2 linked regions of the Callithrix jacchus genome follow. The protein of the gene in region 1 interacts with the protein of each later gene in a pairwise test. Links are inferred from orthologs where the notes say so. Each region holds a gene or a part of one and is shown on either strand. Other genes may lie near its edges.

Region 1 (7,645 bases):
TCTTCTCTCAGAGGCCTTGCAGAATTAGCACACAAATCAAACTTCCCTGCAGAAGAGACCCTGCCTTACTCATGAATGTACCTTCCAAAGAGCCCAGCATAGCATCTGGTTCATGGGTATACATACGTGCAAATATGTCCATAATAACTATGTATTGCACACTCACTACGTGCTGGCCATTGTGTTACTAATATATACCACTTCAAAAATGAGGTCTGAGGCCAGGTGCAGTGGCTCACGCCTATAATGCCAGCACTTTGGGAGGCCAAGGTGGGTGGATCACTTGAGGTCAACAGTTCGAGACCAGCCCGGCCAACATGGTGAAACCCCATCTCTACTATAAATAAAAATTATTTTATTTGGTGTTGTACCTGTAATCCCAGCTACTCAGGAGGCTGAGGCAGGAGGCATCACTTGAACCTGGGAGATGGAGGTTGCAGTGAGCCAAGATCGTGCCATTGCACTCCAGCCTGGGCAACAGAGTGAGACTGTCTCTAAAAAAAAAAAAAATTAGGCCTGATTATTATTGCCATTTTATAGATGTAGAAAATTGCCCAACTGAAGAGTTAAATAACTATTATTTCCAGTGTTTCCTAAACTAACCTCCTAAGTGATCTAGCTGGTATTACAACCCAGGTCTGCCTGACTCCACAATTTCTGCTCTTAATCACCTTCCTGGGCAGCCTCATTGAACAAATGAAGTGAAATTTCCACTAGCTTTTACCAAAGCTGGCTCATTTGTTTCTTGGGTTTGGAGAAGGTTAGCAGCTACAATTCTCCATAATAATGAATTCTATCTTAAAATCAGACATTTCTTTTCATGTACATCTATACTTGTTTATGTTTCACAATAGAGCTCTTATAAAAGAGATTTAATCTGGTTACTTTTAGTACCTGATTAAATTATTCTGAGATACAAATTGTGAACATTCTGAAACATACTTTCTTCCTCAAAAGACAAATGCCAGCATTAATGTATTACTCATATGACTCTCATATTTTTTTTTTTTAAAAAAAAGAACAATAGATTTTGAAAAAGCTACAGCCTGAGTAGGAGAACTTCCTTGAGGTCAGCGTTATCCACAACAGCCATACGTCCGGCAGGAAGTCTGTAGCGGGTGACATTAACAATGAATCGCCCACTTTCTTGTATCCTGGAGAGACTTGTGGCTTAGACTTGTGGCTTCAGACATCTGAACGAGGCAGGACTTGGATAAAAAGCATCCTTTTTGCTTTTCATGTATATTACAGGTTGGAATCTTGCGTATCTAAAGTCTTTCACTTGGGCATGCCAAATACTTTGTGAGGCTGCCTCATTGAGCAGAGTCTACACATGCAGATGAGGCCAGTAATCCCAGCACTGATTGCATGTGTTTATGTGCTTAATGTATTCGCTTGAGTAGGAAGGGCTGCATTCCTAGGCAAAGACCAAGGATAGCCTTTCATGTTGATCGTTTTTAGGCAAGCTTTGCAAAATACACAAGGTGCACACAGAGCCTCCATGAAGAGAGAGATCCTCTATACATGTTTATATTATACAGTTAAAATGAGTAGACTGCCAAGCCACTGGATAATTTAATAACTGCTAATTTAACACCCTAACAACTGAATCCTACCTCGCATCCTGAGTTGATTTCTTCAGCATGCCATAGTGAATGACTCCATTATTTACTTGCAAGTTACACAGTAAACCTGGCCACACATTCACAAAAAATAGTCAACTTTCATCCTCAGTTAAATTAGTATATTGCTCAGAGATAAACTATAACTTATTATTCATATATATATACATGACTTTATGTCAATCTCAGAACAGCCTGTGAAGTAGATATTGTTATAATTCCTGTTTCACAAACAAGGAAACAGACACAGAGGGGTTAAGGAAGAGATAAAAGATCTCCAGCATTAAGGAGCAGCACCTAGAAATTAAACGCATGGCTATTTGCCTCCAAAACTCTTAACTTCATCTCAGTTATGAGTGTTATATTGCCACTCATTTTGTTTTTTGAAAGTTAAATTGGCCAGACGCAGTGGCTCACACCTGTAATCTCAGCATTTTGGGGAGTCACGAGTGGGTGGATCATGAGGTCAGGAGATGGAGACCATCCTGGCCATGGTGAAACCCTATCTCTACTAAAATACACAAAAATTAGCCAGGCTGGTGGTGTGCACTTGTAATCCCAGATACTCAGGAGGCTGAAGCAGGGGAATCGCTTGAACCCAGGAGACACAGGTTGCAGTGAGCCAAGATCGCGCCAATGTACTCCAGCCTGGCGACAGAGCAAGATTCTGTCTAAAAAAAAAAAGAAAGTTAAATTGACTTTGGCAATTTTGCCTTATTGGCTATTAAGCATTGCTATTGCAGATTTCCTCCTTATTCAAAGAAAATTAAAGGAAAAAGGAGGGTGTGCTCTGCCAGTTGAGACAAATTTTGATTGTTTCCTAGGATAGTTCCAAGTGTTGGGTGGGAGGCGGCTGCAGCATGAGCTCTGGAGTTAGGCAGTCTGGGGTCCACCACTTTCTAGCTGTGTGACCTTGGACAAGTTACTTGATCTTTCTGTGCTTCAGTTCCCTCGCCAGGAAAATGAAGAGAGTAACAAGAGCAGTAATAACTCAGTGCTCTTGGGGGTTAAATAACATGTGGCGCATTTAGAAGCGTTTTGCACATGTCATGTGCTCAGTAAATCTCAGCTATTCTTTTTTTTTTTTTTTTTTTTTTAGACAGAGTCTCCCTCTGTTGCTCAGGCTGGAGGGCAGTGGTGCAATCTCAGCTCACCACAACCTCCTTCTCCCGGGTTCAAGCGATTCTCCCATCTCAGCCTCCCAAGTAGCTGGCACTATAGGCTCACGTCAACCAAGCCAGGCTAATTTTTGTATTTGTAGTAGAGACGGGGGTTTCACCATGTTGGCCAAGGCGGATCAAACTCCTGACTTCAAGTGATCCGCCTGCCTCGACCTCCCAAAGTGCTGGGCTTACAGGCCTGAGCCACAATCGCCTGGCCTCAGCTATTCTTATTAATAAGCTGCCTGAAGTAAGTTTAGATTTGTGATCATCAATAAACGTTAGGAGCCACAATTAACATTTGGATATTCCGAAAGATACTTTGTCTTGAAAAGATGATTTAAAAGCCTTCCCACCGTCCAGGCTGCTTTTGTGATGGTTAAGTGTATCTTTCTAAAACGAAATAACTCCCACTCTGGCTGCTTTAAAATAAGGAGTATGGACTCCTTGACATTGCCGCAATTCCAAGACACGCATGCATTAAAAAAAAATTAATCAAATACTTAAAGACTATTTGGGTTTCCAAATAAATCGTTATCCCCTCTCTGTCTATAAGCGTGGCCATCTTCCAAACAGTGGGACTTGCTCCTAATCACGTTCTCGAAAACTTTCCCTTCACTGCTTGCATTACAGTACTCGGTGTCCCCAATTGTTGCTGTCCCAGAACAAAAGCCTAATTGCTGCTGCTACAATACAGCCCTTTTTTTTTTTTTTTACTGAGATCATCATGAAGCCCTTGGAGCAAACAAGAGAGGGAGTTCTTGCAAGCAGCAAGGACGGCGTCAAAATTTCTGGACCCCGAGGGCCAACATGAGCTGCGTTTAGAGACTCTGGGGCCTCTCTCATGGTTTTACCTCCCTGCAAATAGCTATCTTTTGAACGTTTCAGAGCTCTTTAGGACACGTGGGTTTTCTGCTTGGACGAGGCCAGAAAAACTCGGGGTCCCCTTATCTCGCCGGTGCAGCGTGGAATGGAGCAGGACCACAGTCCCGCCCGGACGCAATCCGGTCGCGGTGGGGTACTGGGGGTCTCTCCCAGCCGGGCGTACCCGGGGGCCCCGCAGGCCAAACCCAGAGCGCTCGTGTCCCGCAGCCGCGAGCGGCTACTCCACCTTCCCAGCCTTTCTGGGACCGGCCCCGCGCGCTCCATCCATGACTGGCACGCAAACCCCCAAAGGCGGCCCCCGGACAGGGCTCTGGGACTCACGCGGTCTCCGTGGGTCTCGGGGACCTCTCCCCGGCGGGTTCCCGGCCCCTCGGGGTCTGAGAGTGGGAGCCTCCCATGGCGCGGAACTTGGCGCCCGGGCTGCACCCGCCAGTGCTGGGCGGCGGGCGTCTCTTGACCGACCCTGGGCGGGGAGGCAGCTGGGCGGGAGGAAGGGTGGGGCGAGGGTGGGTGGGGTGGGGCGCCCGGCCGTAGGGTCCCAGTTGCTGGGAAAGAGGGGGAAGGAGGTGGCTTCAGACGCCGCCAACTTCTCCGCGGGTTGCAGGGCCTCGCGGGGGCCGCCGCCTGGAGCTGGGGAGCGCCCGGGGCGCGCGGGGCTGCGAGGAGTCCGGGCAGCGGTGCCTCCTCGCCGGGCAAGGGAGCCCCTCAGCCGCACGGGGCAGCAGGTGGAGGGCGCGAGGCCTGCGGGCGCCCCCGGTCCCCGAGCACCGCGGACGTCGCCCTCTCCGCCCGCTGGGTCCAGGGTTGGAAGGGAAGCGGCGGGAAGAGGCCCCGGGAGCAGCTGTTCAGAGAAGAAGCAGGAGGGGGCGGTGTGTGCCAGGGTCGGGGGACCCCGGCGGCCGTGCAAGGGGCGTGGCCTTTTCCCCAAATCGCTTCTGCCTCTTGGGACGCGAGGGAGGCCTGGACTGCGTTGCACAGAACACTGGAGGCATTCTGGTTTTGCTTCCAACTAGCTGAATAACTTGAAACAAGTTATTTCACCCTCTCTGAATCTTGTTTCCTTTGTCTATAAAATAAGGGAGTATGTTCATCTTTAGCTCTTAATGTCCCTTTAGGCTCTGACAACCAAGCAATGAGTTTTCCTCCAAACTATCGGAAAGAAAAAACAAACAAACACCTAGCCCTATCGTCTCATCTGTGACCCAGCTACACCTAGCACCTCCCGTTTCAGCATCTCATGCCCTTCCTCACCATTCCTGCCTCACCATGTTAGGCTGGTCTTGAACTCCTGACCTCAGGTAATCCACCCGCCTAGGCCTCCCAAAGTGCTGCGAGATCGCGTCACTGCACTCCAGCCTGGGCAATAAGAGTGAAACTCCATCTCAAAAATAATAATAATTATCTCTTCACTTGTCTTTCACTAGAATGTAAGTTCTTTAAAGGCAGGAACGCTATGTTGTTGTTGTGAAAGACCGTGTCTCTTTCTGTTGCCCAGGCTGGAGTGCAGTGATGTGATCAGAGCTCGCTGCAACCTTGAATTCCTGGACTCAGGCAGCCCTCCTGCCTCAGCCTTCTCAGCAGCTGGGACCACAGGTGCATGCCACCACACCCATTTTTTTTTCTTTTTCTTTTTAGAGACAGAGTCTCACTATGCTGCCGAGGTTGGTCTCAAACTCCTAGCCTCAAGTGATCCTCCTGCTTTGGCCTCTCAAAGCGCTGGAATTACAGATGTGAGCCACCGCACCCAGCCAGGAATGCTTCTTATCTCTGTATTCTAGCTTAGTGCCCAGCACAGTGCCTGGCTCATGGTTTATATACAATAACTATTTGCCCAATGAATGAATGAGTCAGTGAGGAAGCACACAGAATTGTGTATGCTAACTTCATTCTTGAAGCTATAGGGGAATAAAGATATTTGTGACTACATTTTAGTTGTTCCAGAGAGAATCAGAAAATGCATATTAGAGATGTATATTTATAATAGATTTCTCTTTTATGTATCAGATTTTGACTATCTGTTTATAAATTATCTTCAGTCTACTTTGCCAGAAAGTTCCCAGGGTCCAGGATGTTGGCACATGGTAGACATAAACAGAGTATTTTGAAGTGGAAAAGTAAACAATTAGTAAAAGTAGAGTGAGACTCAGATCTCAGGGTCCAGGATGTTGGCACATGGTAGACATAAACAGAGTATTTTGAAGTGGAAAAATAAACAATTAGTAAAAGTAGAGTGAGGCTGAGATTTTTGAAGGAATTCAGATTTTTGTATGAGGAATTTCAGTTAACTAAAGAAAAGTTGACTCCTGTGGGATTTTTTTTTAGAGGCGGGGTCTTGCTCTGTTACCCAGATTAGAGTGCAGTGGCATGATCTTAGCTCGCTGCAGCCTTGAACTCCTAAGATAATTTTTCTTTGAAGTTCAGATTCTTCCCACAGTCTGTTTGGAACACTATGGCAATGTGATTGACGTGTCATTGAGAAGGCAAACAGGACCCTGTCAGAGCTGCGGTTACCTTCAGAGGAACACTCAGCCTCTCCCAGTGAGAAAGGTCTTTATTCTCAGTTGGTCATTCCAAGGGAAGACAGGAGGGGGAGCGGCAGGAGAGGAGGGTGGAAATGGGAATGTTTTCCTTCTCTGGTAGACAAGTGGGCTGCCGAGAAGAATCTTGCTACTGTCAGTGCAGAAAGGCACAGGGTGATACCACTAACATGGTTGAAAGTAAGGGAAAAAGCCTGGGTGCGGTGGCTCACACCTGTAATCCCAGCACTTTTGGAGGTTAAGGTGGGCAGCACTTGAGGTCAGGAGTTTGAGACCAGCCTGGCCAACATGGCAAAACTCCATCTCTACTTAAAAAAAAAAAAAAAGAAATTAGCTAAGCATGGTGATGTGTACCTGTAATCCCAGCTATTCGGGAAGCTGAGACATGAAAATTGTTTGAACCCGGGAAGCAGAGGTTATAGTGAACTGAGATTGCACCACTGGACTCTACCTTTGGCAACAAAGTGAGACTCTGCCGAAATAAAGAGAGAAGGAGAGAGAAAAGGAAGGGGAGGGGAGGGGAGGGGAGGGGAGGGGAGGGAGCCCACACCCTCTTGTGTTGCAGAGAAATTGAGACAAGAGAAACAGGAACTCTGTGAAACAATGTGAAAGATTAAACATCTGGGACCCAAAGGGCATCTCTGCAAAGATGCTTGTGTGTTGACCTTTTTGGCTTTATGTTGCTTACTGGGTTTGCTGCCCTGACTGGCATGGCAACTGGGGCTTTGGGCCAGGCTGGGTGAACACAGTGAAGGGAATGTTGTCTTTGGGAGATAAACTTATTAGGGCTTTTCAGGAAAAAATGTCCAAGACAGACCAGAGATCCCCAGACACCGCTTACTGCAAAGCATATAGCTTTGCCCTTCTCATGGAAGCAGAACCAAGACATATTTCTCCATCCCAGAGCCTGGCTGCAGATCTCCAAGAAAGGCATAGACTGTGGGATGTCTGCGGTTTCTCTGATTAATGTCTCTGGGTTTAAACTCTTTCTTGCTTTTTATATTTCAGTTAAAAACGAAAGGCTGGACACAGTGGCTCACACCTGTAATCCCAGCACTTTGGTAGGCCAAGCGGGGAGGATCTCTTGAGCCCAGAAGTTCGAGACTAGCCTGGGCAACATAGCGAGTCCCTTGTCTTTACCAAAAATAAAAAATAAATTGGTTGAGCCTGGTGGGGCTCACCTGCAGTCACAATTAGGAGGGTGAAGTAGGAGGATCACTTGAGTCCAAGAAATCGAAGTGGCAATGAGCTGTGATCACACCACTGCACTGCAGCCTGGGCAACACAGTGAGACTCTGTCTCCAAAAAACAAAACAAAACATTGCAGCATCCCCAGTGATGATACTGAATTGTTATTATGCAATCACAATTTCTGCTCTGATGAAAGTTATTCAAGAAATGGAGAGGCCGGGTGCGATGGCTCATGGCTATAATCCCAGCA
Region 2 (7,704 bases), on another chromosome or scaffold:
TCACGATTGTAATCCCAGCACTTTGGGAGGCTGAGGTGGGTGGATCACGAGGTCAAGAGATCTAAACCATCCTGGCTAACATGGTGAAACTCTGTCTCTACTAAAAAATAAAAAAAAAATTAGCTAGGCGTGGTGGCACGCACCTGTAGTCCCAGCTACTCGAGAAGCTAAGGCAGGAGAATTGCTTGAACCCAGGAGGTGGAGATTGTAGTGAGCCGAGATTGCACCACTGCACTCCAGCCTGGGCTACAAAGCGAGACTGCGTCTCAAAAAAAAGTTAATTATGGAATCTACAGATGGATCCAACTGCCTGGGAGTTGGTTCACGGGATACACAAGGAGATGCAAACTAGTATTTAAGAAATGAAATGTTAAATCCCTTGGTTATTGTTATCTGTTACAGCTAAAATGAAATTAAGAGAGTGGTGGGTTGGACCTTCCTGCTAGACCAAGCTCAGATTTCAGTAAGTGTGTGAGCTTAGGCCACTAGCCTCAAAGCTGTCCCAAGGGAAAAATTTATGCTGTCACAACCAAAAGTGCTTCTAAGACCTCTGGTAAGGAAGAGGGTGGTCTGCAAAACCAAGGAACTATTGAAACCAGGGGCTACAATGTGAAAGAATTGTTTCATTTTTGTACATTAGTATCATCAGCTTCTTGAGGAGAACAGTCTGATTCTACCTATAAATGCCAAGTGTAACACCCCAGATCCAGATAAAGCCACTGATGCTTCATATGCAAGCCACGTGAAAATGGCTTTATGATGACTAGGACATTTACCTTCTAAAAATGCCCACTACCCAGGTCATGGTAAATGCGGTGGTTAAGGGTGGACTCCTTAATGTGGATAACCTTACCACTGCAAAATCAAAAGACAGTTCGAGAAGCCTTACCAAATGTGCTGTCTGTTTCCTCTCATAGGACTTACAGATGCTAATAAAACCATTAGGCTAAGAGAATAGTGAGACAGAGGGCAAATGGATTCATCATGGAAGGTGGAAATTTTTAAATGGTTATTAAGAAATAAGGTAGAAGGATGTGGTGGCTCATGCCCGTAATCCCAGCACTTTGGGAGGACGAGGCTGGATGATCACGTGAGCCCAGGGGTTCAAGACTAGCATGGGTGCCAAAGGGAGCCCCTGGTAGTTTCCCAATATTAAGGGGTTCCAACCAGGTTTGCTATATTTACCCCAGTTTGGAGAAATTCTAAGTCAGGAGGCAGATTATAATGAGAAATCGAATCTGAAATTGATGGGGCAATAAGCAGGTGAGTCAAAAAGATAAAGACTAACAGGCCGGGTGTGGGGGCTCATGCCTGTAATCCCAGCATTGTGGGAGGCTGAGGCAGGTGGATCATGAGGTCAGGAGATCGAGACCACCCTGGCCAATATGGTGAAATCCTGTGTCTACTAAAATACAAAAAATTTGTTGGGTGTAGAGGCACGTGCCTATAGTCTCAGCTACTCCGGAGGCTGAGGCAGGGGAATCACTTGAACCCAGGAGACGGAGGTTGCAATGAGCCAAGATTGCACCACTGCACTCCAGCCTGGTGACAAAGCAAGACTCCATCTCAAAAAAAACAAAAAACTGACAAATGGGCAAGTGTCTCTTGGATGAGGACCCCAAGTTTTCTGTATACAAGTAGGTAAAATGGTCAGGGAGTGGTGAAGAGAAATTCCTGGGTCTCCTTCATATAGAAGCCCCAGGCACAGTGGTACCAAGAGCCATTTGTGAAGCCCTGAAGAGGGCTACAACTAGATTAAGAGAAGGCCAGTCATACTGGTTGACACCTGTAACCCCAGCATTTTGGGAGGCCGAGACAGAAGGACGCCTTGAGCCCAGGAATTCAAGACCAGGTTGGGCAACAAGGTAAAACCTCGTTGCTACAAAAAATTTAAAAATTTGCCAGGCATGGTGATGCACATCTGTAGTCCCAGCTACTCAGAGGCTGAGATGGGAGGATCACCTGAGCCCTGGAGGTCGAGGCTGCAGTGAGCCATAATTGCAGCACTGCACCGCAGCCAAGGCGACAGAGTGAGATCTGATCTCAAAAAAAAAAAAAAAAAAAAAAAAAAAAAGAGAGAGAGAGAGAACACAAAAACGTGTTGACACTACTACGAAAGTTGGAAGCCGTGTCTCCTATACATAAATGTTTTATGGGAATGGATAATATGTCTGGCTGGGGAACACTTCCCCTACCTAGAATTGCAAAAACAAAACCTGTTGATCAGGTCCTAATGGAAGCTGCAGTTAGAAAAGTGAGGGTTGGCTGGATGTGGTGGCTCGCCCCTGTAATTCCAGCACTTTGGGAAGCCGAGGTGGGCGGATCACTTAAGATCAGAAGTTCGAGACCAGCCTGCCCAACATGGTGAAACCCTGTCTCTACTAAAAATACAAAAAATTAGCTGGGCATCATGGTACACACCAGTAGTCCCAGCTACTTGGGAGGCTGAGGTGGGAGAATCCCTTGAACCTAGGAGGCAGAGGTTGCAGTGAGCCAAGATCATGCCACTGCACTCCAGCCTGGGCAACAGAGTGAGACTCCATCTCAAAAAGAAAAAAAAAAAAAGAAAGAAAGAAAAGCGTTGATGGAATTAAGATAAAAGTTTATAAGAGAGTTGGTATATTCAAACATACTTCATGTGAGAGCTCCACACCCCTCTCACACCTACTAGACCTATGCCTCTCTTCATCTCTATCCTTTGTAGCATCCTTTACAATAAACTGGTAAAAGAAAAAGAAAAGAAAAAAAAAAAAACAGAAAAACAGCTGCTGCTAAAACTGAACCGTCAGTTGTAGAAAAGTGCGATGGAATTACCACACACCACTGTTCATAATTCAAAGCTGATCAACACTTTAAAGTAATGGAGAATAAAATAAAAGTCATGTTAATTGTTATGGAATACCTTTGCTTGTCATTGCCTCAGTGAACAGCCTTTAAAAATGTATTTAAAATTTTTTTTTGCATGAGTTTATCAACTAGATTTAACTTATGCTGGCAAAATAAATTGCTTCCACCTTTATATCACTAAAGTTTATAAAAGCATTACAGTTTGCCCAGTCACTTAAGTCAAAAATCCTTTACAATTTTTTAAAGTTTCAAAAGATTCTTAGCTTCATTTATTGGCTCGTTAGGTCAAAGAAGGACTTTTCAGGGTGATGAAAATGGAGGAAGGAGGAGCTCACCTTTCTAAAAATGAGTTTTCAATTACTATAATTATGCATAAGACAGGCAGCATTTCTGGGCCAAGATTTGATGTCCTGGTCCCATGAGAATTAAATTAGAGCCATGCATAAATTTGGGGCAAGTTCTGCAAAAACCACTTCAACTTCTATTGATGCTGAATGAAAAACTCATTGTTAAGATTCATCAACACGAATATATTTTCTAACACACACTAGCCACTCTGGCAACATCCCTTTCACCATTTTCTATCCAAGAAACAGAACGGAATGCATTTCAATCCTGCCCAACAATGACCACCATTACAACTAGTAGGGGAGAGCTCAAAACTAAGAATCCAGTTCACTGAGCCCCGACCTTAAAGTAGCAAGGCCTGCTGGACCCCACATTGCTGGCTATTGTATTGGTTCCCCCACATCTCCAGGGCTAGAAGGACACCTGAACGCTCCCGACACCTTGAGAGAGTGAAAGCCAAACAAACGTTAAGGGCGGGGTGGTGCATGATCGGAATCGTTCACATCGCAGCAAGCCGGCAGGGGACACAGGTGTGCGGCCAGGCCCCAATACCGCCGTTCTCGTCACGCTCCGAGACGACAAGGCCCTTCTCAACCACCACAGCCCTAGGAGGCTCTTACTTATTCATTCACTTGACAATTACGCGAGGAGCACTCTAGCAGGGCCGGCTCCCCGGGCCCCCGCCCTGGTTCGGGTATATCGCAGCCGCCAGGCGCGGCCCGGTGCCGCCCGCGCTTCCCGGGCACTGCCACCCGCGCCCTGCTGCGGTGCGCTCTGGCCACCCGGAGCCCAACCCCGGCCTCCGCCGCACACGAGCGCCCACGCCCCCCGCCCTGCCCGCCGCAGGTCCCCCGGCCTCCGCCCCGCTTCGCCGCCTCAGACCTGCCGGGTTCGTGGGACAAGGGCGGCGCGCTTCTGAAGACCCCCCCGCCCCTGGGACCCAGAGACCACTGTACGCGCGCGATACCTGCCCTCGAGGGCCTCGTGGGTGGGGCAGGCCCACCTATCACTCACCTCAGCCGGGTCAGAACCAAGGGGCCTGCTCTAAGCCGTTTGAAACCGCTTGGGCCGCCGCACACCCCGCAGTGTCCTCGTTCTTTATTGGTCCTCGACGGACCGCCCATCAGCCTTTTATTGGTCCATTTGAAAGGTCTGTGGGCACGCGCCTCCTGCAGCCTTAAGGGAGCCGCGCGCTGCTGTGTTTCCCTCTGGACCTGGCGTTGCCAGCTCGGGTGGGGACGCCGGTCGCTGCGGGGGCCGAGCTGCCGACGGCCCCGAAAAGGAGGGCCAAAGGTGTGTGTAGGGCTGGGCATTTCTGACCGTCAGCATGCCTCAGCCTCCTGAGTTTAATGCTACCTTGAGGAATTTGTCCTACAGATGTACGCAAGTATGCAAAGAAAAAGAAAAATTTCCAATGATGTTTACTGCACTACTGCAGTAATCCCAAGTAGCTGGGATTACAGACTTGCATCACCATGCCCAGCTAATTTTTTTTTTTTTTTCTGGTAGAGACGGGGTTTCACCATGTTGGCCAGGGTGATCTCGAACTCCTGATCTCAAGTGATCCACCCGCCTTGGCCTTTCAAAGTGTTGTGATTACAGGCATGAGCCACTGTGTCCAGCCAGCACTGCTTAAGATTAAAAAAAAAAAAAAAAAAATTCTGGAGGCCAAGCATGGTGGCTTATGCCTATAATCCCAGTGCTTTGGGAGCTGGAGGTGGAGGATTGCTGGAGTGTGGGAGATAAAGGCTGCAGTGAGCTATGATCATACCACTGTACTCCAGCCTGGGTGAAATTAGATGTTTATCAACAGAGAACTTTTTACATGAATTATGGTATATCCATTCAATGGAACTCTATGCAACTGTTTAAAAGAATGTGGTTCATCTACATGCTGGAGTGGAAAAATGCACAAATTTTATTAATTGAACAAAAAGCAAGTTGCAAAACTTGTGCAATGATTTTATTATATATGGTTATAAATATATGTGTTTGAGGACATGCCTGAAAATGGTTAGAACCTTCCTGGAATTATAAGAAACTTAATAGAAGTGGGACTCGACAGGGAAGAAAATAAATTTTTACCATTGATATGATGTGTTTCTTTTTTCCTTCATAGAAGGAGCGAGATGTCTAGTGGGCAAAGTGTGAGTCAGGGCACAGAAACAAGGAAGTGCATCGTATGTATGGGACTGAACATGTGGGGTTGATTTTAGGACTGAAATTATGTTGGGAAGTAGTGGAACACAAGATTGACACAGAAGGTTAGAAGCAGTTCTTAAAGGATCCTGAATACCAGGGTATGGAATTAGTACTTTGTTAAGTGGATAATGGGGGGGGGCTATTAAGAGTTCCTGAGCAAGAGAGTGACAAAATCAGAGTTGTACTTTAGGAACATTAATTAGATTGATTGTCTAAAATGGTTTAGAGTTGGGAACCCAGCAAGGCGTCTGATATGAGGTGTTAGCGGTAGAGAGAATGAGAGCAGATTCAAGAAAGAATGAAAGATTTGGCAACTGACTAAATTAGTTGCAAAGGAGAGGGTGGATCCCATTTAGGGAGGCGAGTCAAAGAGAATTCCAGGATTTGATTGCCCAATGGAAGTAGGCAATCAGAAGAAGCAGGTCTCAAGGGTAGGGTGAGGAGTTTAAATTACAACCTGTTTACTGGTAGGTACCAATGAAGCATTCTAATGGAACCGTCCAAGTAGGCCTAGAAAATATACAATGGAAGCTGGAAGAATAGATGTAGAATCAATGATAAAGATTTGGGGATCACATTGATAGAGTGAATGAGACTACAGACAGGGGATTGGAAAGAGTGAAAGGATGGGCAATGAGGACAGATTCACATGTAGGAGAAGAAAGGAATGAATCAAAGCAATACGGTCATGGTAACCTTGGAGAAATTGATGAGGACATACAGAAATAGTCTTCTTCAGTCATTGGTTGTTGGCATATTTACTTCATTTAAATATTACCAGAAATAAACTGAAGATCACATTTATGGAGAGGGTGTGATGATAATCTGGAATTGGCTTAATAAAGTATGTTTGTACAGTGTGGGTCCTGGAGAGTTTTAGAACAAGACGGCAAAACCCCTTTTTGTCTTGGATGACTTAGGTACATCCCTACTTTAAGATGGGCATTAGATGTCTGATTCTACTCATTTATTCATTCGACAAATGTTTATCAGCACCTAGTATGTGGAGGGACTATTCTAGGCACTGCAACGATCAGTAGACAAAATAGACTCCCCAAAATTTCCTCCCCTTGGGGCACTCACACTATAGTGAGGAAACACAGACAATCAATGCATAAATAAATTATATAGTGTGTTATTAGAAAATATGTCCAGTGGGAAAAGGAAAAATAATAAAACTGGGTAAAGGGCTAGGAAATTGGGGTTGGAAAGACTATAATTTTATTTTATTTTTCAACTTTTATTTTAGAATCTGGGGTACATGTGCAGATTTGTGATAAAGGTATATTGTGTGATGCTAAGGTTTGGGGTATGAATAAACGTAGGTACTGAGCATAGTACCCAACAGTAGGTTTTCAGTCTTTGCTCCTCTCCCACTCTCCCATCTCTAGTAGTCCTAGGTGTCTATCATACCCTTCTCTATGTCCATGTGTACCCAATGTTTAGCTCCTATTTCTAAGTGAGAACATGCAATATTTGGTTTTCTGTTTCTGCATTAGTTTGTTTAGGATTATGGCCTCCAGCTGCATCCAGGCTGCTGCAAAGGACATGATTTCATTCTTTTTTATGGCTGCATAGTATTCCATGATGTATATATACAACATTTTCTTTTTTTTTTTTTTGAAACAGTCTTACTCTGTCACCTAGGCTGGAGTGCAGTAGCGCAATCTTGGCTCACTGCAACCTCTGCCACCTGGGTTCAAGCAATTCTCCTGTCTCAGCCTCCTGAGTAGCTGGGATTACAGGCACCTGCCATCACACCCGGCTAATTTTTGTATTTTTAGTAGACATGGGGTTTCACTATCTTGGTCAAGCTGGTCTTGAACTCCTGATCTCGTGATCCACCCACCTCAACTTCCCAGAGTGCTAGGATTACAGGTGTGAGCCACCACACTGGTCTAGTATTACATTTTCTTTATCCAATCCACCATTGATGGGCACAAGGGTTGATTCCATGTTTTTGCCATTGTGACTAGTGCTGTAATCGGTACATGTGTCCTTTTGGTAGAATGGTTTATTTTCCCTTGAGTATATACCCAGTAATGGGATTGCTGCATTGAATGGTAGTTCAACTTTTAGTTCTTTGAAAAATCTCCAAACTGCTCTCCACAGTGGCTGAATTAATTTACATTCCCACCACAATGTGCAAGTGTCCCTGTTCCTCTGCAGCCTTGCCAGCATCTGTTAATTTTTCACTTTTTTTTTTTTTTTTTTTTTTGAGACGGAGTCTCTGTCACCAGGCTGGAGTGCAGTGGTACGATCTTGGCTCACTGCATCTTCCAACTCCTAGCTTCCAGCAATTCTCCT

Evidence for each region.
Region 2: the proteins of TACC1 (region 1) and CKAP5 interact in binary tests that used the Homo sapiens proteins (3 or more experiments, as listed by UniProt). The link is inferred for Callithrix jacchus from reciprocal best matches to the Homo sapiens genes TACC1 and CKAP5.

Annotation. Positions count from the first base shown.
Region 1 is NC_133514.1:39,582,506-39,590,150, reverse strand, and holds the start of TACC1 (transforming acidic coiled-coil-containing protein 1), read right to left. Parts: upstream 4,485-7,645; 5' UTR 4,066-4,484; coding exon of another isoform or gene 3,989-4,065; intron 1-3,988. UniProt on the Homo sapiens protein: Involved in transcription regulation induced by nuclear receptors, including in T3 thyroid hormone and all-trans retinoic acid pathways. Might promote the nuclear localization of the receptors.
Region 2 is NC_133511.1:111,900,672-111,908,375, forward strand, and holds the start of CKAP5 (cytoskeleton-associated protein 5), read right to left. Parts: upstream 4,271-7,704; 5' UTR 4,163-4,270; exon of another isoform or gene 4,078-4,162; intron 1-4,077. UniProt on the Homo sapiens protein: Binds to the plus end of microtubules and regulates microtubule dynamics and microtubule organization. Acts as a processive microtubule polymerase. Promotes cytoplasmic microtubule nucleation and elongation. Plays a major role in organizing spindle poles.